Diceros bicornis minor: one gene and its partners. The protein of the gene in region 1 purifies or fractionates together with the protein of each later gene. This does not show direct contact. Links are inferred from orthologs where the notes say so. Each region holds a gene or a part of one and is shown in the gene's direction. Other genes may lie near its edges.

Evidence for each region. Proteins that work in one complex are often made in the same cells at the same time.
Region 2: the proteins of ITCH (region 1) and ENTREP1 purify together in Homo sapiens (co-immunoprecipitation; 3 studies listed by BioGRID and IntAct, counting the BioPlex papers as one, with this or other methods). This does not show direct contact. The link is inferred for Diceros bicornis minor from reciprocal best matches to the Homo sapiens genes ITCH and ENTREP1.
Region 3: the proteins of ITCH (region 1) and CFLAR purify together in Homo sapiens (affinity purification with western blotting; 8 studies listed by BioGRID). This does not show direct contact. The link is inferred for Diceros bicornis minor from reciprocal best matches to the Homo sapiens genes ITCH and CFLAR.

The regions. Positions count from the first base shown.
Region 1 is NC_080758.1:25,188,346-25,196,291, reverse strand, and holds the start of ITCH (E3 ubiquitin-protein ligase Itchy homolog), read left to right. Parts: upstream 1-4,927; 5' UTR 4,928-5,006; intron 5,007-7,782; exon of another isoform or gene 7,783-7,931; intron 7,932-7,946. UniProt on the Homo sapiens protein: Acts as an Acts as an E3 ubiquitin-protein ligase which accepts ubiquitin from an E2 ubiquitin-conjugating enzyme in the form of a thioester and then directly transfers the ubiquitin to targeted substrates.
Region 2 is NC_080761.1:23,821,212-23,829,173, reverse strand, and holds the start of ENTREP1 (endosomal transmembrane epsin interactor 1), read left to right. Parts: upstream 1-4,961; 5' UTR 4,962-5,011; coding exon 5,012-5,428; intron 5,429-7,962. UniProt on the Homo sapiens protein: Functions as an activator of the E3 ubiquitin protein ligase ITCH in the ubiquitination of the CXCL12-activated CXCR4 receptor. Thereby, triggers CXCR4 endocytosis and desensitization, negatively regulating the CXCL12/CXCR4 signaling pathway.
Region 3 is NC_080749.1:79,017,633-79,024,735, forward strand, and holds the start of CFLAR (CASP8 and FADD-like apoptosis regulator), read left to right. Parts: upstream 1-4,102; 5' UTR 4,103-4,435; intron 4,436-5,189; exon of another isoform or gene 5,190-5,402; intron 5,403-7,018; exon of another isoform or gene 7,019-7,103. UniProt on the Homo sapiens protein: Apoptosis regulator protein which may function as a crucial link between cell survival and cell death pathways in mammalian cells. Acts as an inhibitor of TNFRSF6 mediated apoptosis.

The DNA.
Region 1 (7,946 bases):
CAACATTTTATCATGAAAAATTTCAAACATAGAGAATAGCTGAAAGAATTGTACCGTGAACATCAACTTTCCACCACCTAGGTTCTAGAATTAACAGTTTGCTATATTTGCTTTGTCACATATTTATTCATTCATCTCTCTCTCCACACATCCATCTCATTTTTTGATGCATTTCAAAGAAGCTCTAGAGTTCACTCTACCTCTTAACACTTCAGCACGCCTGTCACTAACTAGAGTTCAATATATTTTTTTTAGGTTAAATTTATATACAATGATACACATATATCTCAAGTAGACCATTTACTGTTTTGACAAATGTGTACCACCACATAATCCACACCCCTAACAAGATACTGAAAGAACCTTTTCAACACCCCAGAAAATTCTCTCGCTCCAGAGGCAACCACTATTGTGATTTTCTTTCACCATTGAATTGATTTACCTATTCTAGAACATAGTACAAATAGAATCTTACAGTGTATACTCCTTTGTATAAGGCTTCTTTCTTTTAGCTTAATGTCTGAGACTTATCTGCTTTATTTTGTATATTAGTAATTGTTCTTTTTTATTGCTTAGTAGTATTCTACTGTATGAATGAATATACCACACTTCATCCATTTTCCTGCTGATGAAACATGCAGGAGTTTTAAATGTTTTGAATTGGTTGCCAATGTTTTAGACCTGAGTTCAAATCCTGGCTTTGCTACTTGCTAGATGTATGACCACAAGCTGGTTATCCTGCCTCTTTGAGACTCAGTTTCCCCATCTGTATAATGGGAAAAAGTATAGCTATTGCTTATTGAGTGCTTGCCTGGCATTGTTCTAAGTGTTTCACATGCTAATTTAATCCTCACAATGACCCACGATATAGGTTATATTACCATTCTCATCTTATAGATGTGGAAACTGAGCACCCCACCTAGGTTGCTGAGAGTATTCAATGAGATAGTATATATAAAACACTTAAGACTCTATTTGGTAATTACAATGTAGAAAGTAAATATTAGCTGTGATTTTTTATTTTTCCTTACTGGCCCTTGGAGGAATTTAAGTTTACTACCCCTGATGGAAAAAGTGGATAAAGCCCTGGATGTCGAGTTGCCAAAGAAAATGCAGGATGCCCAGTTAAATTTGAATTTTAGATAAACAAGGAAAATAATTTTAGTATAAGTATGTTATACCAATATTTGTTACATATTTATGCTAAAAAAATTATTCATTGTTTGCCTGAAATTCAAATTTAACTGAGCATCCTATATTTTTATTTTCTAAATCTGACAACCTTACCTGGGAGGGAGTAACTGCAGAATGTGTGCGCCTCATTTTGCAAATGAAGAAACAGTCTTAAAGAGGGGAATTGATGGAGCCATGACCTCAGGTCTTAAGTGGTCTCTTTGGATCCAGATCTTAGATTCCCAGAAGCCCCATCCAGTGTCTTCTCTCCATCTACACACAGCTCTGCCACATTTCAAGTCTTCCCCTGTCTCTGGCAGTTGAATACAGAGTGGCTTCAGGGAAGAGAGGGACAACAGCGTGACTAAGCCTTCTGCAGGGAAAGCCAGTAAGTGACAGGCTGTGTGTGGGCCACTGGGGTTTCTCTCCCCACTCATTCCAGCTCTGCATCCCTGCTTCCTTCCCCCCTACTCTCCCCAGAGGCCTGGGAAGCTCCTTCTCTTGGTGGTGGGGGCCTCCTCCAGGCTTCCTGCCCCTGCTCTAGCAGGGCTGGGTCTTGTCCCAGGCTGACCTGGGTGTCCAAGGCAGAATGAGGGTGTAGGTGGCTCACAGCTTTATCAGCCACAGGTCCTGCATTCTGACCAGGCCAAGACTAGGCTGACTTCTGGATCAGGGAACCTGGGGGCCAAAACTGCACAGCATGAGAGATGAGGAAATGGCCAGGAGAGGATTCTCTGCCCTCACCAACTCAACTTCTCTTTGGAGAACCACCAACTACCTACCTGGATTTTCTAGAGTCTTCACAACATCCTAGGAAGTAGGATCTATTATTTCCATTTAGAGATTGGACACTGAGTTTCAAGGCACTTGCCTAAGACCCTGAAGCAAGTTGTTGATAGTCAGGACTAGATCTTTGATCCATATGCCTCTGAATAAGCCTAAATTATTAACTCTTCCAAGTACTGCCTCCCAGGGCAGAGCTATTCCACCCTGTTGGCATTAGCATGAAAGTTAGGTTGGCATAGTTCAGTGTTTCTCAAAATGTGATCCTTGGGCATCAACATCACCTGGGGAACTTGTTAGGAATGCAAATTCTGGGGCCGGCCCCATGGCTTAGCAGTTAAGTGCATGCGCTCCGCTACTGGTGGCCCGGGTTCAGATCTTGGGCGCACATCGACACACTGCTTGTCTGGCCATACTGAGGCAGCATCCCACATACAGCAACTAGAGGGATGTGCAACTATGACGTACAACTATCTACTGGGGCTTTGGGGAGAAAAGGGGAAAAAAAGGAGGAGGATTGCCGATAGATGTTAGCTCAGGGCTGGTCTTCCTCAGCAAAAAGAGGAGGATTGGCATGGATGTTAGCTCACAGCTGATCTTCCTCACAAAAAAAAGAAGAAAGAAATGCAAATTCTTAGGCCTGATTCCAGAACTTCCTAACTCAGAAATTCTGGGAGTGATAGCTGACAATCTGAGTTTTAATAAGCCCTCCAGGTGATTCTGAGGCACTCTAAAGTTTGAGAATCTTTGGCATGTAGTAGAAAGAGATGCATTTTTGGAACAAAATGAGCATATATTTAAAACATATATTTGCTTGAGGTAAACTTTTATTGACATATAATACAAATACAGAAAAATACACAAATCATAAGTATACAGCTTGATGAATTTTCACAAAGTGAACATGCCTGTGTACCAGCACACCACATTATTACCAGCCCTGAGAAGCCCCTTTGTGTCTCCTTCCTGGTACTACTTCCCCTCAAAGGGATTCACTATCCTGACTTCAAACACCGTAGATTAGTTTTGCCTAACATTATATAGTTTAAAAAATTGTAGATGAAGACAGAATCTGGAGCCAGAGGACTTTGGTTGGATCCCTAGCTCCTGGCTGAGTGATCTTGGATCAGTCATCTAATTTCCTTGAGACTCATTTCCTTCTCCGTATAATAGTCATAAAAACACCTCATACCTTAAAGAGATAGTGTTTCCCAAACCTGCCTGCTGACAAAAATCACCTGGGGCACTACTTTAAAAACCCACGTTTCCCAGAGCATACATTCTTTTTTTTTTTTTCCCTCGTGTGTGTGAGGAAGATCAGCCCTGAGCTAACATCCATGCTAATCCTCCTCTTTTTGCTGAGGAAGACCGGCTCTGAGCTAACATCTATTGTCAATCCTCCTCATTTTTTTTTTTCCCCCAAAGCCCCAGTAGATAGTTGTATGTCATAGCTGCACATCCTTCTAGTTGCTGTATGTGGGACACGGCCTCAGCATGGCCGGAGAAGCAGTGTGTTGGTGCGTACCCGGGATCTGAACCCCGGGCCGCCAGCCGCAGAGCGCGAGCACTTAACCGCTAAGCCACGGGGCCGGCCCAGAGCATACATTCGTAATGGGACAAAAATTGGTTGGGGGTGGAGAGGAAAATTTTTTTACTTTTTCATGTAAAAGCACAGATATACATATAGTACATAAATAGATATACAGTATACTTGTGATATTAAAATTTCATGGGGGGAATGACTAGAGAAAAAAATGTCTTAAAATGTTCCTTAGAGAGATGATTAAAAAAAGGTTGAGAAACACTGCCCTACAGCAGTGACTCTCCAAGTGTAGTCTGTGGTTAAAAATGCAAATTCTGAGGCCCCATTCTAGACCTACTGAATCGGAAATTCTGGGGGTGGAGTCTAGCAAACTAAGGTTTAACAAATCCTCCAGGTGATTCTGATGGGCACTAAAGTTTGAGAACCACTGTCCTAGAGAATTTGAATAGGTAGGACCCCCCCAAGAGTACAGGATACTGTATCTGTATCTTTAAGAAGATCTGTAAGCAGGAATCTGTATCTTTAACACACTCTCCTAAGGCATATTGCAGGAAACATTAACATACAGGATTTGAAAGTATTTTGAAAAGCGTTAAGTGACTTTCTAGATGGTGAAATATTATTTTCACTAGGAGGAAACAGGCTAAACAATAATAGCAAAGGTTACTAATTACTAAGCACTTAGTTGTTCCTCTGAGTCTACTTAGCCTATCTATTCTCATAAACAACTCATGAAGGAAGTTAAGAGGATGGACTCTGAAGCCAGACTGCCTGGGTTCTTATCCAGCTGTGACTTTGTTTATGCATCTGTAGAGTGAGGATAGTGAAGATACTTCCCTCATAAGTTTGTTGTGAGGTTTAAAGAAGTTTATTGAGTAGCTCTTGGAACACCTGCCCTGTTGGCACCAATTACGTGTAAGCTATTTTCATCAACCCTAAGCGCACCCTGTTAAAAGGTATATTTGAACCGGATCAATGTAACTCCCGAGTGCACTTCCTTAAGGACAAATCTTGGTTCTCAAAGTGTGATCCTCCACCAGTGGCACACCAGAGAGCTTGTTAGAAATGTAAATTAATACAGGCCATCTAAGATCAGCTGAATTAGAAACTCTGGGGGAGGAGGGGGGGCCCAGGAGTCTAAGTTTTAGCAAGGCTTTCAGCTGATTCTGACGCACACTAGAGTTTCGGAACCGAAGCTACAGTCTTTAGAGGTTGGGGGTGGGGGTGGGGGTGGGGGTGGGGGTGGGGCGGGAGGGATTAAAAAAGGGCCTAGAAGCGCTGGGAGGGAGCAAACTCCGATTTAGCTGCGCTCACCAGCTCCAGCCAGCTCTTCCGGCCAGAGGCTGGCAAGTTCGCCAGGCCTTCTGGGGTTTGTAGTCGGGGTCGCTCCCGAGGAGGAGGCGCCTGCGCATTGGCGGCCTAGTGGCTCCGGTCCCTGTAGTCGGGGCTCGGGACCGGCTGCCATCTTAGTCGAGGGACTGAAGAGTCGCCGCCGCCCCGAGTCCCGGTAAATACCCGCAGGCGGGCTGGGGGCAGTTCTGGGGAGAGTGGGGTGCCCGGATGAGAGTGTCCGAGGAGAACGAGGAATGGAGAAATGTGGCGCGCGAGCCGGGCCCCCAGAACCTTGGCTCCTCGCTCTTCCCTCAGAGCCGGTGCCCCTGGGGGCGCGAGGAGCTCGGGCTAGTGGCCCGGGCCGGGCGGGAGGTGGGACGGCCGGACGCACCGAGTGGCCACTGTCGGGCTGAGGCGTCCGGAGCCCCTCGCCTCGCCGGCGCCAAGTTGTGGGAGGGCTGGGCCGCGGCGGACGCCGGCAGGGTCCGGCCCCGCGCCCCTCAGCCCCGCCCGGGGGCCACTCTCCCGCCGCCGGGCCTACGCGCGGGGCCCGGCGGCAGCGGCCGGCGCGCGCGACGTGGCCTTGTGAGGGGCGGCGGCGAGGCCCACCTGCCACCCGGCTGGCCTTCTCGAGACTTTTTGGAGCCCCCAGTCGCGAGGGGGGCCCAGCACAGCGGCTACTTACCCTTGTCTTTTCCAGTCCCCTCCTCCTTCCATTGTCCCCCAGCGTGGTGGTCCCGGCCCGGGCGCCCTGCTCGGCTCCCGCCGCCCCGACCCTGCCGGCGCCTCCCGGCGCCGAGTTTTGCAGACGTGGAGCTGTCACTGTCCTCCTTCCTGAGAGTGTCCGTTCCTTTAGCAGAGAAAAGAAAAAAGTAGCCGTGAACGTATTATAAGGGTCAAAACATGATGAGGACATGACTTCGTAGGGACCTCAAGTTTTAAGATTTATTTCCGGGCAGCGAGTTAAAGAGAGATAAACACAGGGACCGTGCGCCCGAAGTAGACTTTGGGCCTAACGTTAGTCCGAGATGTAACCAGGTGAACTTGCAAACCACCCGAAATTCACGATTCCCGGTAACAACCCAACTTGTTTTCTTGGTTACATTTGTATCTTTAATCGTGTTACATTTTCTGCCATTATTTTACAGCTTCAGTATACTTTTTTGGGGGAGTGAGGGGTGGGGAAGGAAGAGTGGGACTTGTCTTTGAAAATTAATGAGGCGCTGGAGCCAGCCGCCTATCATTGGCACTTAGTTGGGGTCTCCGGCATCTATTCCTAATATAATTCGATTTTAAGGAAGTATGTAGAGGCAGTGTATTTCCACTCTCAAAATCTGCTAAGGATTTGTTTCTCGGCTGAAATGAAGTTCTCGTGGCAGATCTGGTGAGCGCCTGCACTGTGTATTCATAGGTTTACTCAAGGTACAATTACTTCATTTTTAAGATTTAGAAATGAAGGTGGAAATTCAACTGTTTTTTTTGAACAGTGAATGTAAGGTTTTTGGGTGTGAGTCCAAAAGGAATTCCTTCATCTTCAGCATATGAATCAAGTCAACAAGGATTATGATATGAAATAAAAAGCAAGTGCAGAATACTTCTTCAGTGTATTCTAGAGTAAATCATTTCTACATTCTTTTAAAAAACACATCTTTACACCTATTGGAAGAGACAGACCGGTAGTCCCCAAATTTGACCATTAGAATAATTAGGGAAGATTGTTAAAAGTAGAATTTCCGGGGTCTTGTCTCCTGAGATTGATTTAGTATGCCTGTGTTGGCTCTAAGGAGTTTATTTTTACAACATGCCTCAGGTAATTCTGATGGTGTTGGGAACCACTGAGGCAAACAATACTGTGAGCATACCTAGGACAGCTCAAAAAACTTGGAGACAGATGAGGAAGTGACCTGTTCTATCTGGGGGTTGGCCACAGAAGGAGGCAGAATCTGCCTGTGGACCTAAGTTGGGTCTTAGATGATGAGTAGGAGTGTGATAGGGATGGGGAAAAGGAAGGACAAGGCAGATAAAGGAAGAAACCTTAATGCTGTTTGTAAATGCAGAGGATTGTAGAAGAAAAAGGGTTCAGAGAGCAGGGAGTGGAATGAGGAAGGAGAGCATGTGAGACATGAGGCCAGAAAGGTCAAAGGAGGCAACTATATGAAAAGTTCTAAGTATAATGCTAAAAAACTTGAGTTTTATGTTGTTAGCAATAGATGCAAATTTTTAAACAGGAAAGTGGGATGAGTATGTGTGTGTTTCAGAAAGATTGCTCTGGTGATAAGAGTGAAGGGATGGAAGAGTGGCCATTGCAGAGGTCTAGGTGAGAGGTGAAAAGCCTTGACCTTGGACAGAGGCTGTGGGGATGTTTAAGGGTTTGAGTTTAGTTCTTTCCTAGTGTAATATTGTTGCCATATTTTTGGATGAGGATTTTTTAGGGACAGTCTGGGCAAAGGACTCCTTTTCTGTCAAAAGAACCCATTAGCAAGCCTGAATTATATTGCCAGGTTAAATATGTTAATGGTATTGGAGTGTATTGTTCATTAGCATCTTTGAAAAAATTAGAACGAGATTGGGTGCAATTTGGAGGAGAATTAGGAGATAAGACTGAAATTTATGACTATCAACGGTGATCTAAGCTTGTTTGAAGTTTTTCTCCCACTCAGAAACTTGGTCTTAGAATTTTAGAGTTGCAAGAGATTGCAGAGATTATACAGTGGCAAATATGGTTTATGGGCCAACTCTGCTTTGAAGTAGCTGCCAGAAGCACTGTATTGAGAGGGATTTTGGTCATATGGGTTCTCTGGGAAAGTGACTTATGATTGATTGGTGATGCCTCCTGCGGGCACAGTTATCTAGTGGGTGGTATATGTGCCAGGTATATACTATTCTTAGACTAGTCCAACCTCTTGGTTTTCTGTTTGTTTTAAAAAAAAATGTCCTAAGGAGGTTAAATAATTTACCTAAAACTAGTTAAGAATCAGAGCTAGAACTAGAGCTAGAACTAGAGCTAAGTTTTGTAACTCTTATTCTATTATTCTCCAGTGTACCAAGATGAATGTGTGCTACTAAAGAGCTTTGGATATTTTATCAAAAGAAAAAAAAGGTATTTCTAGCCTGT
Region 2 (7,962 bases), on another chromosome or scaffold:
CAGTGGCATTAAGAATCCTTAACAACTAGTCTGCACCATTACTTCACAAAAATGGAGTGCCTGATTTGCCCAGCTCTGCTCAGGGTTGCTTTCTTTCTTCCATTTCCTCTCTCTCTCAATTAAAAAAAAAAAAAGTTCCACAGTCCTTTCTCTGCAAAGGGAAATGTTATAATTGAAGTTGCCACTCCATTTCCCCAACACAATCCTCATACAACATAGTCCCTCATGGAAAAACATGAGACCATGGAACCTGAGGCCTTAAAGTTTAGAATAATGAATTTTCAGTTTTGTCCTGGGTATTTTGGGTCTCCAAGATTCCACACCAAAATTCACCTGCTTTTCTTGGTTTCTGCTCTTTTGCTGATCATCTGAGAAACTATGGCGATGAGAATGGCTGAACTTCAAAACTGTAGGCCTAGGGGACACCATCTGATCACATGGTCCAGCCTCAGACAGATGGAGCATCACAAACATGCCCTTGATAGTTGAAGCAACTGAGGCTAGAGAAGCTTGGAGCTGGCTCAAGGTCACAGAGTAGAGGAGGGACTACAACTCAGGATGTCTGGCTCCTAATATGGTACCCTTTCCATTAGAATCCAGGAATCTAAATCCTTCTCCTGCATAGAAATGACCTGGGCAGCAGTGCCTGGCTGAGGACCAGCAAAGCACTCCCCCAACGTATTTACATCTCAGTTTGCTTTCAAGCTAAATCTTCTGCTTTCCCCTTCCAACATATTTGTGACTCGTAGATCCCTCCCATATAAATATTCCCATATAAAAATTCTGGAGTCTGAATAGTACCATCCAGTAATGTTTTCTGGAATGTGTTAAAATGCAGGTTCCCAGGCCTATTATCTGGAGTGTCAGACTCCCTGGCGTGGGGGAAGCCTGTGAACCTGCATTTTGACATGGTTCTATGGTCTGTGGACCACACTTTGAGAAGGTGCTCCAGAGCCACCATTTTAAATGAGGACTTCTGGAGTCCACTGTGCCTTTCTCAGAGAAGCTCTTCTCTTTGTAAAATATAAGAACTGGAGTCAGGTTGCCAGGGAACGTGTTTTGAGGAAAGAGTTTGTTCAGCAGCTCCCACTCCAGCGGGGACTAACCTCCTGTAATTAGCTGACAGGTTGGGTCTTCTGAGAAAGGGTGGGAGGAACTGAGGAGTTTGTTTAAAGGTGTCCAGTGAAACCTGAGCGAAAGAGCCCAAACTCCTGAGTGGTGAAGGTTTTGAGTGCGGGGAGTGGAAAAGAAGGTACAGGGAAGGGAAGAATGGGTGGAAATTTCTCCTTGGAATTTGGCTTTGATCTTGAGGAAAGCTGACAGCTGGGATCCACTGAACGATACACTACAACTATTGTTTCCTTGAACTTTCACCTACATTAATGAAATGTCTGGGTCAAGTTTTCCATACGTTCTTCCTCACTTTATTTTTAATTTCTTTGGTAAGGGCTTATTGAGATATAATTCACATGTATCTTTATTGAAATACAATTCACCTATTTAAATTAGTGTACAATTCAATGGTTTTTAGTATATTCACAGAGTTGTGCAATCATCACCACAATCGATTTTAGAACATTTTTTCTCCTCAAAAAGTTACCCCCTACCCTTAGCAATCACCCTCCCCACATTCAATCTCCCCATTCCCCACCCCTAAGTAACCATTAATCTACTTTCTGTCTCTATGGATTTGTCCATTCTGGAGATTTAAAAAAAAATTTTTTATTGATGTCATAGTAGTTTATAACGTTGTGAAATTTTAGTTGTACGTTATTGTTTGTGAGTCACTGTATAAATGCATCCTTTCCCCCCTTATGCCCACCCCACAACCCCCTTGCCCGTGGTAACCACCACACAGTTCTCTCTGTCTGTGTGTTAATTTTCCACTTATGAGTGAAATCATGTGGTGTTTGTCTTTCTCTGGAGATTTCATATGAATGGAATCATATAATATGTGGTCTTTTGTGACTGGCTTCTTTCACTTAGCATTATGTTTTCAAGGTTCATTTACGCTGTAGCACGTATCAGTGCTCCATTTCTTTTATTGCTGAAAATATTCCATGGCATGAATTACCACATTTTGTTTATCCATTCATCCATAATACCGCATTTTGTTTACCCATTCATCCACACTTGGGTTGCTTCTACCTTTCGGCTATTTTGAATAATGCTATTTGTGTACAAGTTGTGGTGTGACATATGTTTTCATTTCTCTTGAGTATATACCTAGGAATGGAATTACTGGGTCAAATGATAACTCTAACTTTCTGAGGAAATGTCAAACTGTTTTCCAAAGCCTCAAGCCAACCTGAAATCAATAGATCTGAATCATCCTCTAAGAGTTTAGTTACAGGGCCGGCCCCATGGCTTGGCGGTTAAGTGCACGCACTCCGCTACTGGCGGCCTGGGGTTCAGATCCCAGGCGCGCACCGACGCACCGCTTCTCTGGCCATGCTGAGGCCGCGTCCCACATACAGCAACTAGAAGGATGTGCAACTATAACATACAACTATCTACTGGGGCTTTTGGGGGGGGAGGAAGGAGGAGGATTGGCAATAGATGTTAGCTCAGAGCCGGTCTTCCTCAGCAAAAAGAGGAGGATTAGCATGGATGTTAGCTCAGGGCTGATCTTTCTCACAAAAAAAAAAAAAAAAAAAAAAGAGTTTAGTTACATACAGCTCAGCTTGATGAGGTCTAAGGACTTATGGTAAGCAAGTGTTTAGGGAATGCAAAGAATCAAGCCTGGGTTACAAATCCAAACCTCAAATACTTGAGTGTTAATACTTGAGTGTTATTTGGCATAATCTTAAAGTTTGGGGCAATGTTACATGGATTTGTGTTTATGATAAGCTGAAAAAGAAACTCACAGCTATAAATGTGGCCGCTAATAAAAAAAGAAAGCTACAGCACAACTCTTAATTAGCAGCTTTAGAAAGGTTTAGTTGCCTGAAAAAATAACTAAAGTTATTGTATAAAACTATCCATGGATTTTAATTACCTCTGCTATCACCTGTTTCTATATAGGGACATACACAAAAAATTTAAGGGCAAAGTACTTAGAAATACTTTAAAGTATTTAAGTATAAAATACAGAGAAATGCACAAAGTGTAACTCCATGAATTTTCTCAGAATGAATCCCACCCATGTAACTAGCACCCACAGCAAGAAACAGATGGTTATCAGCCCCCCGGAACTGTCTCTTCCAGTCATTAGCCCTCCAAAGGGAGGGAGGACATCTGACTTCTAGCATCAACATTCCTAGACACAAAGAATACATTTTTAATAGTACACTTCTGGTGTCAAGGATTAGATCAGTGGAATAGATTTGTTAAGTTGACAGAATTTCTCAAGACTCACTCAGACGTTTTATATTGCACAGTGCAGTAGAATCTTGAAAATTAAATACCTTTAAGCTTGTGTTTAAAATATAAGGTATAAACTCAGTACACAAGAAGCTTTTAATTTAACATCGCCTGCAATTTAAGAACATGTACTGCAAGACATTTTTAAAGTGCATGAAACAAACATACTTGAAACGTTTATTTTAAAAGACAGCTCCTTTTTTCTCCAGGATTTGAAGTTTATTTCCAAGAGGAGTTTGTAAAAGAAGTCTTAGGGACTATTAATCACAGGTGCTTTAAGAATTCAAAAAGTGTATATGTAAACACACATGCACATTAGCAATGTGGGTTGAAGTAAGTAATGACCAAAATAAATACTGTATAGCCTTTGCAAGCAGAGCATAAAAATGGATACACATTTCCCTTGGTTTATTGGGTAGCAGAATGTTAAATACCCTCATCTTCCTGATAAAATGAGTTGCCTGATACTGAGACTGACACTGCAAAATGACACTGCTCAGGTTTTTAACCTGGAAAAAATATATTATAATAGTTTTATGTATAAGAACACTTTCACACATAAGAATTCATTGGAGAGAAAGGTATACTATTAGGGAAAACCATTTTAGAAGGCGAATCATCTTTTTTGTTTTTTAAGGCTCTAATATGTCTTATAAATTACCAAAAACAGATTAGGATTTTATTAGGATATTTCTTCGGAAATTTCAGGATTCTATGTTCTACCAGGTGATACCTAATACAGCTCAGGACTCAAGGGGAGGCGGACACAGAGTGTAACCCTTGCCACACGCTCCAGATCGCCCCCGGTTCCTTCTTTCCGGATGCTGGATACTTACTTCCAACGTAACCTCGTGCTCACTCTGGCTCCTACCCTGGTGCGGGGAAAGCATCCCTGCCCGCTTCCCTCCCCACCCCCTCCCCCACTTTCAGGCGGCGGGCTGCGGCGCAGGGTCAGCGCCCGGAAGCCCAGAGCTAGTGGTCAGTTCGCTCTGCTTCGTCCTTCCCTGAAAGCCGGCAACTTAGACTTTTCCCACCAAGTCACCCATAGCCCCTCCTCCTGCCTTCACCCCCGCCCTGGGGGGAAAAAGTTTAAAGCCGGACTCCCTTCACATTAAAGGTTGCCGGGGGCCCCCTCTTGGCTGGACCGGAAGGGGGCAAGGGTCCACAGCGCTTCTCCTGCGCTCCTGTCCTGCCCCAGCTCGGCGGGTGGGGGACAGCCGTCGGCCGCCAGCTCCGACGCACCCTGACCGCGAAGTCCTTCCTAGCCCGAGGGACCTATATAAAAAATTGGGGCTGGGCACCTTTCCTGGACCCCAGGGAGCGGGCGCAGGTTCTGCCGTGACCCAAAGGCTGCAGCAGCCGCGCGGCGCGAGCGCAGGGCGCGCGTGGGTGTGTGTGGGGGTGACAGTGAGAGTGCGCTGGGAGCCGGCCGGGGGCGGACCCGCCGAGTGGCAGGTGGGTGCGGCCGGCGGGAGCCCGGGCAGCGGTGGCGGCGGCAGCAGCAGCAGCAGCAAGTGGTTGGGCCGTGCGCATTTCTTTCCCTCCCCCTCGGCCTCGGAGCCCGCCCGCGGTGCCCAGTGCGCGGCGCCCGCGGCTCCGCTCCGCGTCCCCTCCCCGCCGCCGCCGGCCGCTCTTTCCCCGCCCGTCCATGTCCCTGCCCGTGGTGCTCCCGGGCTCCTGCTGCCCGGTGGCCGGGCTCTCCGGCGGGCCGCAGGCCGGGGGCCCGGGCGCCGCGGCCGCCACCGCCCAGGAGCCGCCGCTGCCCCCGCTGCGGCCACGCTGGCCCCGGGCCGCGCTGCAGCCCCCGGCGCGGCCTCGCTGCGTGGCCACCGCCGCCGCCGCCGGGGTGCTGGCCGCGCCGCCCGCGCTCTCCTCCCGCCGGGCCGCCGCCGCCGCCGCCGCCGCGGCCCCGGGCGCAGCGCTGCTCCCCGCTCGCCCGCTGTTGTCGCTCGGGCTGCTGCAGCTGATCCTGGGCTGCTGCATGGTGGCACTCAGCTTCGGGGCACTGTCGCTGAGCAGCTCTCCGCAGGTGAAGAACTCGTGCCCGTTCTGGGCCGGCTCCTCGGTGAGTGCCGCACGCGCCCCGCTGGCCTCGGCAGGGCCACCCCAGGAGCAGGGGGCTCTGGCCGGTCCCGTCCAGTGCCCTGCGATTGCCCACCCCAGGGCTGCAGTGACAGAGCACAGTCCTTCAAGCCAGTTGAAGTTTTGGAGGCGTTAAGGCTGGAAAAAAAGGCTGAGAGAGAGTGGAGTTCAGGGGCGAATGGGTTGCACCTAGACAGTGTCTGTTCCTCGCAGGCTAAAGGATTTTATTGTCTCTGTCAAGCTAATACAATAAAACAGATTTCCAGCTTTTTAGGAGTTTGGAAGGATGGGGTGGGTGGCAGGAAATTGGAGGAAAATGATTAAACTTCTGTCGGCCACTGAGTATTTATTTCGCTGACAGTGTCCGTGCGGGGAGGCTAGAGATTTTGATCAGTGTTTGTTCACTAATGTATCAACAGTGCCGGGCACATAGTAGGTTTATTTGTGAGATGGATGTGTGACAGCTTGACTGGGGCACGTCACGTATTTTATTCTACTTGAAAGCACGCGTAAATGTGAAATGTATCTGGTGTCGGATGGCTCCACTGTATTTGGGAACGAGTTCAGGAGTTAATGACAGGGTGTGTGTAAACGCGCGCTTGTAGCTGGCCTTTATGACTGAGGACCCTAATCCCCCAGTCTGTTCCTGGAGCCACGCAGTCTGCTGTCGTTACGCGTGAGCTCGCCAAGGCCCCCAGGAGCGCGCGGCGGCTGGCTGGAGCAGTCTGCCTCCCTCAGCTTCCTGGCCCTGCTTCTTCCACCGGGGACCAGCCTGGAGCTTCTGTGGTCACCGGGTGGCTACTCCTCCCTGCCTCCTAACCATGTCACAGCTTGCAAGGCGTCCAGCCTCTTGAGATTTGCCCCGGGGTTGAGAGTTGGAAACAAGTCTTTGTGGAATGACTGTGGAAGATGAGTGTTTTAAAGTAAAAGACCTTCTTATGAACGAAATCTCCAAGTCTGGCAGCGCCTCTAGTTCTAAGATCTGTAATGAAGGAATGTTCTGAATGCGTAAAAACTGTCCTTTTGGCTGTCCACACATACCCAGATTCAGGACCAAATTTTAAGAATATAGGGAGAACTAATGGAACCCAAAGTAATTCTTTGAAGAAGAACATTAAGTACCTTGAGCCTGGCCTGATGTTTTATTCTTAAACTGGTGCCCATTTGCTCTCCTTAAATACTTGGATACTGAGTGATCTTACTGTGGTACAATCCAGCTCCAGTAACTGGAGTTCACACTCTGTGCATCATGTAAAAGGAATGCTCCCTCCTGGTCCTGCCCTTGGGCTCTCCTGCTGGCCCCCCTGGGTGTTCTTTAAAACTCCAGGAGGAAGGGTATTCCCAACAGGGTAGGGATTTTATCCATTATGCTCTCTAGTCCTCTTCTCAGACTAAATTCAGCCAAATGGTGGGTGCATTTCATTTCTCTAAATACCATAGGCTGGAAGTGAATCTTGCATACATTTTTAGGGATTTGCTTTTTGTAAAATCATAATCTCTTTGTCTTCTCAAATATAGCTAGTTCAGGTTATCGAAAACTAATTTTTCCCTTATAAAATTAAACCCCAAAATTATTGTACAATTGTGAATTATTTCAGAGGTAAATGCACTTAGATGTTAGTCAAGCCACAGTTGGATTTGATGAAGTATATTAAAAAAAGGCCGTCAGCCAGAAGATAAAGGCTATTAACCTGGGCCTGATGGCTGGGCGTCCTTGTCTCCAGGACCCAGCAAACCAGAGCAGGGAAAGACTCGGTGTTTTGGAACTAAGTTCTCTTCTATAGGGTCGTTTTCTACACCTTGCCTGCCAGCTCCACGTGCAAACCGGCAGCTGTTCGTTTTTCTTAGTTTTTGTGGCCTGTTTCTGAGAGTAACCTCAGAATTTGCAGAGTGACAACAGAACCGACAGATGTTGCATCTCTAGAACAATTAAATAGGATGTGAGGATAGCACCAGACACCGTGACTCTCTTGGTGTTTTAGGAAAAAGTCTCACCAGTAGTTTATGTATGTGAGAGAAGTTTTTTTTTTTTAACTTTGCATTATGAAAAATTTTAAATTTATTCAAACACTGTACAGTGAACCGTAATATCCCCCTCGCCAGCTCCAACAATTGTTTCATCCGTACCCCTTCCTGGCTCTAGTGCTGCCTCTCTGTGTTCTGATAACTCTAGGAGGATGGGTGTTCCAAGCGAGGTAGGAATTAGCTCCATCATGCTCCCTAATCCATTTGTCAGATTAACTTCCCATATTATTTTGAAGCAAATTTCAGACATCACATCGTTTCATTCGTAAATATTTCAATATGTTTATATTTTTAAAAAGAAAATGTAAACAGAATAGAGAGACAGCATAGAAGTGACCATAAGAGCCCCCCTCCACTTTTTTTTTTTAAGATTTTATTTACTTATTTATTTTGCCCCCAAAGCCCCAGTAGATAGTTGTATGTCATAGCTGCACATCCTTCTAGTTGCTGTATGTGGGACGCGGCCTCAGCATGGCCGGAGAAGCCGTGCGT
Region 3 (7,103 bases), on another chromosome or scaffold:
CAATGCTCTAGCTGCACTCCATAAGTTTTGGTATATTCTGCTTGATTTTCATTCATCTCAGAGTATTTTCAGATTTTCCTTTTGATTTCTTCTTTGAACCACTGGTTACTTAGGTGTGTGTTGTTTAATTTCCACATATTTGTGAGTTTTACCAATTTTTCCTGTTTTTGACTTCTAATTTCATTCCATTTTGGTCAGAGAACATACTTTATATTATTTCTATCCCGTTAAATTTACTGAGGTTTATTTTATGGCCTAGCAGATGGTGTATCCTGGAGAATGTTCCATGTGCACTTGAATGTATATTCATGTATATTGATAATATATATTCTGATATTGGATGGAGTGTTCTATAGCTGTTAGGTCTAGTTGGTTTATAGTATTGCTCAAGCCTTCTGTTTCCTTGTTAATTGTCTGTCTAGTTGTTCTATCCCTTATCGAAAGTGGAGTATCGAAGTTTCCAACTGTTACTGTTGAAACATCTATTTTTTGTTTATTTCTTTCAGTTTTGCTTCATGTGTTTTGGTGTTCTGTTATTAGGTGTAAATATGTTTATAATGATTATATCTATCTGATGGATTGACATTTTTATTGTTATAAAATGTCTTTATCTCTAGCAACATTTTTTGTTTTGAAGTTTATGTTGTGTGATATCAATATAGCTACTCCAGCATTCTTGTGGTTGCTTTTTGCATGATATATCTTTTTCCATATTTTATTTTCAATCGATTTGTATCTTTGAATCTAAAGTGTGTCTCCTATAGATAGTTAGAGTTGTATCATAGGTTTTTTTTAAATCCAGTCTAACAAATTTTCCTTTAGATTGGATTATTTAATCCATTTTCATTTAGTGTTATTATTGATATAGCTGGATTTGCATGTGCTATTTACATTTATTTTCTATGTCTCGTGTCTTTTCTGTTCCTTTATTTCTCCTTTCTGCTTTCTTTTACATTACGTGACTATTTTCTAATGTAGCATCTTTTTTTTTTTTTTTAATGAGGAAGATCAGCCCTGAGCTAACATCCATGCTAACCCTCCTCTTTTTGCTGAGGAAGACCTGCCCTGAGCTAACATCTATTGCCAATCCTCCTCCTTTTTCTCCCTTTTTCTCCCCAAAGCCCCAGTAGATAGTTGTATGTCATAGTTGCACATCCTTCTAGTTGCTGTACGTGGGACGCTGCCTCAGCATGGCCAGACAAGCAGTGCGTCGGTGTGCGCCCGGGATCCAAACCCGGGCCGCCAGTAGCTGAGCGTGCGCCCTTAACCACTAAGCCATGGGGCCAGCCCCTAATGTAGCATCTTAATTTCTTTTTGTGTGTGTGTGAGGAGATCAACCCTGTGCTAACATCTGCCAATCTTCTTTTTTTTTTGCTGAGGAAGACTGGCCCTGGGCTAACATCTGTGCCCATCTTCCTCCACTTTATATGGGACACCACTACAGCATGGCTTGCCAAGCAGTGCACCAGTATGCACCCAGGATCTGAACCGGTGAACCCCGGGCTGCTGCAGCGGAGCGTGCGCACTTGCGGCACCGGGCTGGCCCCAGCATCTTAATTTCTTTAATGATTTTTCACTATATATTTTTGAATTATTGTTTTAGTGGTTGCTCTGGGGTTTACCACATACATCTTAACTTATCAGAGGCAGCTTCAGATTTATACTAGCTAGTCCCAGTGATATATAGAAATGTTACTCCTACATAGCTCCATTCCCTTCTCCACCTCTTTGTGGTATTAACATCAATTAACGTTACACATCCAGCAATATACTCTTATAATTATTACTTTATCATCTGTAGTCATTTCCTTATCCCAATATAGCTTTGCTTCCACCCCAATCCTTCGTGCTGCTACTGGCAAATATATTTCACATATATTAATTTCTACATATTATAGGCACAACAATCCATTATATTATTTTATGAAATTGCTTTTTAAATCAGTTAAGAGTAGGAGAAAAAATATTCATTTATACTGTCTTTTATAATTATATAATTACCTTTCTGATGTTCTTTGTTTTTTGGTGTGGATTTGAATTACTGTCTGGGGTTACTTGCTTTCAGCCTGAAAAACTTTTAGTATTTCTTGTAAGGCAGATCTGCTAGCACAGATTCTCTCAGTTTTGTTTATTTGGGAAAGTATTTCACTTTATTTCACCAATCTTATTTTCAAAAGATAGTTTTGTGCATATAGGATTATTGGTTGAAAGGCTTTTTCTTTGAGCACTTTGAATATATTATCTCATTGCCTTCTGGCCTCTATTGTTTTTGCTGAGGAGTCAGCTTCCTGGATGTGTAGGTTACAGTTTTTCAATACATTTGGGAAGTTTTTAGCCATTATTTCTTTGAATGTTTTTTTTGCTCCTTTTCCCACTCTCCTCTCCTTCTGTTACCGCCCAGCGTGGGGCCTTCTGCTCGCTGCAAGACATGCCAATAGTCAAGAGGCAAGGTGGTAGGAGAAAAAGGACTTTTTTTGTTACAGCTTGCTAGCAAGAGTGAAGATGGCCGACTAATGTCTGAAAAAAACCATCTTAAAGGGGCACAAATCTTATAGCAGTTATATAGGCCGGTGGGTTATAGAGGAGGGGGTTAGGAATGGAATGTTGGAATGTTGACCTTCTGGTGTTACAGACTGGGAGTCACCACACCAGATCCTTCAGTTTTCATTGATGATTGCTACCAGCATAGACTCTCTGTTTGGGGGTCATCACATTCCTAAGGAACTCAAAAGAACAAAGTTATCATCTTATGGCAGCTGGGAGGTATATGCACAAGCAAGGGTTGTAAAATCAACATAGCAGTTAGATCTCCTGGAGGGTGTATATCCAGCTGGGTTAGTTTGTCAGAGGTCATTCAAAGTTACAATAGGGTTTCTTTTCTACAACATGGCTTCCCTCATGTCAACCTTGTCTTTAGCCAGTATCACTTCTGGTACTTTCAGTGTGCATATGTTGGTGTGCTTAATGATGTCTCACATTTCTCTGAGAATCTCTTCATTTTTCTGTTCTTTGGCTTGCATAATCTCTATGCCTCTAACTTTAAGTTATTCTTTTTTTCTGCCAATTCAAGTCTATTATTAAACACCTAATGAAGTTATTTCAGTTATTGTATTTTTCAACTCCAGAATTTCTATTTGGCTCATTTTTATAATTTCTGAGTCATATCTCTACTCTAGCTGCTGAATATGTGTTGATATTCTGTTTGATATGGCTTGTTGTCATAACTTCCTTTACTTCTTTAATCATGCTTTTCTTTAGTTCTGAGAACATGTTTATAATGGCTACTTTGAATTCTTTTTCTGATAAATCCAACATCTGGTCGCTTTCTGATAAATCAGACATCTGGTCGCTCTCACGTGCAGTTTCTGTTGCCTGCTATTTTTCCAGTATATAGGTCATACTTCCCCATTTCCTTGCATGCATCGTAATTTTTTGTTGGAAAGTGGACATTTCATATAATATATTGTAGCAACTCTGGGTACTTGTTTCCTCCCCATTCCCCTCCCCTCCCCCCAGCCTTTGTTGTTGTTATTTGCTTGTTTATTTGTTTAGTGGCTGGCTGGATTACTGTAATGAAGTGTATGCTGGCCACCCCCTTAAACTTCTGATGTTGTTATCCCAGTATTCCAGTAGTTTGGGTAGGGCTCTCTTCCTCTCATTGCCTGACCACACCCAGCTGTTAAACTCCGCAAGTTAGCTGGCTGATTGTTCTATTATTTACAACAATGCCCTGGAGCATAAATTGCTCAACAAATGAATCCAATCAAATTCTAGCCCTTTTGAAGCAACAGTTTATGAGGTCAGTGTTTAATATTTGTTCTTACCACAGGTAGGCTTCCCTCAGCTGTCTTTTTTTTTTTTTTATAATTTTATTTATTTATTTTTCCCCCCCCAAAGCCCCAGTAGATAGTTGTATGTCATAGCTGCACATCCTTCTAGTTGCTGTATGTGGGACACGGCCTAGGCCGGAGAAGCGGTGCGACAGTGCGCGCCGGCCCCGGCAGCCAGCAGCGGAGCGCGAGCACTTAACTGCTAAGCCGTGGGGCCAGCCCTCCCCGAGCTGTTTTTATCTCTGGTTTTCTCCTGCAAACTAGTCCGCCTACAATTCAGCCCACATCTTGAGTCTCCTCCCAATCGCCTATGACCAAAACCTCCAGGTGTTTGAGAGCACACTTTGGCTTGAATTTTTCCATGTTCTGTTGCAAATGAAGTCAGTACCTTTGGGAAGAGATTAAGAGCTATCTGTTTTAAGGACTGCCTTTCCCCTTAGGCCCAGTCTCGGAGCCAGGGTTTAGGAGCAGGAGGTGGAACAATGACAACTTCAGTGAGTCACATCCCTGCTGCACGGGCTGAGCAACAGCTGGTGGAGCCTGTAGCCACCTGAAGTCCTCTCAGCGTCTCTTCTCTGGCTTGAACCACCACTTCAGGAGCTGGGGTAAGCGTGCTTAGGACCCCCGTATTCTCAGCACTCCAGCCCAGGGTAGAGCCTCTGTTCCACGAGTGGGGCTGGGTGGAAGAAAGGAACCCCGCTCAGCCAGGATCGGCCTCAGTATCAGGCGGCTAGGGGCCGAGTGAGAATTGCTGACACCCTGCCCCTCCCACTGGGAGCCGCGGGAAGAGGAGGCCGTGTGTTCTTCTCGGTTCCAGCAGTCGGGAGTGGGGTGTCTGCCTTGCCAAGCTGGGAGGGTGAAGGGAGCAAGAGGTCTTGGTTGAAATAACACAGATTCTTGCCTTTCTTACTGAATTTTCGTCGATTTTCTTGAATAGATGTTTCTTCATTTGCTGTCTTCTTTTAGGACTGTTTCCAAGCCTTTAAATGGGTGCTTGCTTGTTTTAAAATAACTGTCATCAGTTTCCCTAGGGCGTGGGTCAGCCGAGCCCCCGCTGTCAGGCCGGTAGTCAGTCTCCCTGGTATCGTGCTTGCAACTCCTGTGAGTTTAAATTTATTTCAAGAAAAGTTAAGAAATTAAAAAAGCCCCAAGGAACTAGTGGCTAGGAACGAAGAGATCAATCACGAGGCGCCCTCGCGTCGCTGCTCGCTCCTCTCCCCGTCGTCCATGGCTGACAACGCCGGCGCTGCTGCGCCTCGGGACAGCCGCCCCCCGGGGGGAGGCACATCCGCCACAACAGGAAACAGCTGCTGGACCAGCCGGGCCTTTCAATGCCAGGGACTCGTTGGGGGCTGGTGCCGGGGTCTCTGGGCCGACCACGGCGAATGTCGGGCCGCGCGACTTCTGTGGGGTCAAAGTTGAGAGAAGTCCGCGAGGGCGAGCGAGGCGGGGAGGCCGGGCCGGCGAGCGCCACGTCCGCCTCCGGGTTTCGGTTTCTCGCCTCCATCTTGCCCGCGCTCTGCGAGCGCCGCGGAGGGAAGCCGGGAGGAGCGTCCCGCCGCGGGCAGGACGGTAAGTGCCGTGCGGCCCGCCGCTCCCGAGCGCGGGGGCCGGGACCCGCGCCGCGGTGGGCGTCCGGCCTGCGCGCTCCTCGCGGAGCCGGCCGGCGGGGGTGCGGGCGGGGGCGCGGGCCGCGCGGGGTGACTCAGTCTGTGGAGTCGGCCTCGGGGTTCCCTCCCCCGCCCCCCGACTGTCGGGGGCCGCCCGAGGCCGCGGGGACGCGGACCGCACAGCCCTGGGCCGACTCTAGCCGCAGAGGCGGGAGCAGGCCTGGGGCGGGGCCGCGTCCTGTCACCGAGGCCACCGTCGGGTCGCTCAGTCCCGGGGGTGGCTGCTCAGAAGGCTGGGCAGGTCGCTCCGGGCAGGGCGCCCCGCAGCGGGGCGCGCGCCTCGGGGCAGCCGGCCTGCGGGACTCGGCGCTCGCGGTCGCCCGGCCGGGTGGGGCAGGGCGGCTACTTCTCAAAGCAGGCATACATGTTTCGGCCAGTTGCCAGGAAAGCTTGCCTTGCAACGTTCGGAACGCTTGGCTGAGATTTTTGTAAAGCCTTGTAATAAACCTGTTTCTGCCCCGCTCTTTTCCCCCTTCAAAACGACTGGGAAGGGAAGATGATTTCAGGTTGTTCTTGCTTGATGCAGTCCCGATCTGACGGAAGGGCGTGTGCTTTTTTTAAATATTTACTGTGCAGTGTGCAGTGCCATAGAACAAAGGCCATTGAAATGGGGCCAATACTGTGTTGATTGAAGGGAACAGGAAGTAAGTTCGGCGACGCCAGGGCTCTCCGATATTTTCGTTTGTTGACTTTTGAACTTTGTCCCAGGAGAAGTGGTGCCAGAAGGGACAGCATTTCGGACATGTCCGAAATAAAAGCCCGGACAATCTAAAACCGAGCCTAGAGCGGCCTTGACCTGCTCTAGATAAGAAACTGCAGACGAGAGGAACAGAATGTTCGGTATTTTCCCTCTAAACAGTCTTACAAAAAACACCGTAGGAACAAAGAACTTGGCTCAGTGCCCCCCAGAAAAACCTCGGGTTTGGAAGGAAATTTTCAATGTGTTTGTCACACCGTTTTCATTTTTTATGTTAACCCTTGTTTTACTCATAGCTTCTGCGCTGGATGTCCTGCGTTTTCTAACGACCCCTGTCTTGCATCTGTTTATGACTGACACCGGCACTTCTTTAATCCTCTCGCACTGTCTTGCACCCGCCCTCGAAGGTGAATCCCCCTGCAGGTCCGCGGGGCTGGGCGCCCCTGCCTCCCGCCCCCCGGGAGTCCGGTGCGGCAGGGGTTGGGAGGGTCGTCGCCGGCCGTTTTTTGAGAGGTGGCAGGGCGTCTGTTGGAAGCTGTCACGCCCTGGCTCTCGGGGGGTGGAGTGGTGGGCACGGCGGCGGCGCCCTCTCGGTCTCGGCCGCCGCACGGAATTCCCCGGGGCGCCACGTGGGCCCTTTGCCCCCAGAGCGCCGAGTTTATTCGGGGAGACGTGCGGGCACGGAGGGTTCTGGAGCCTGAAGTCTTGTGTGGGCGGCGTGTTCCGGGCGGGCTGCCTGGAGGAGGAGGAACAGCACAGGGGCTCAGCTGGCAGAGGTTGCCGGACGCCTGCCGGGAGGCCACGCCTTGATGCCCGCCGCGTCCCGCCCGGAGTATCTCCACCCGGGGTTCCGCAGCGGCAGGTCCGATCGTGTCCGGCCGAGATCCAGCGGGCGGAGCCGGGCCT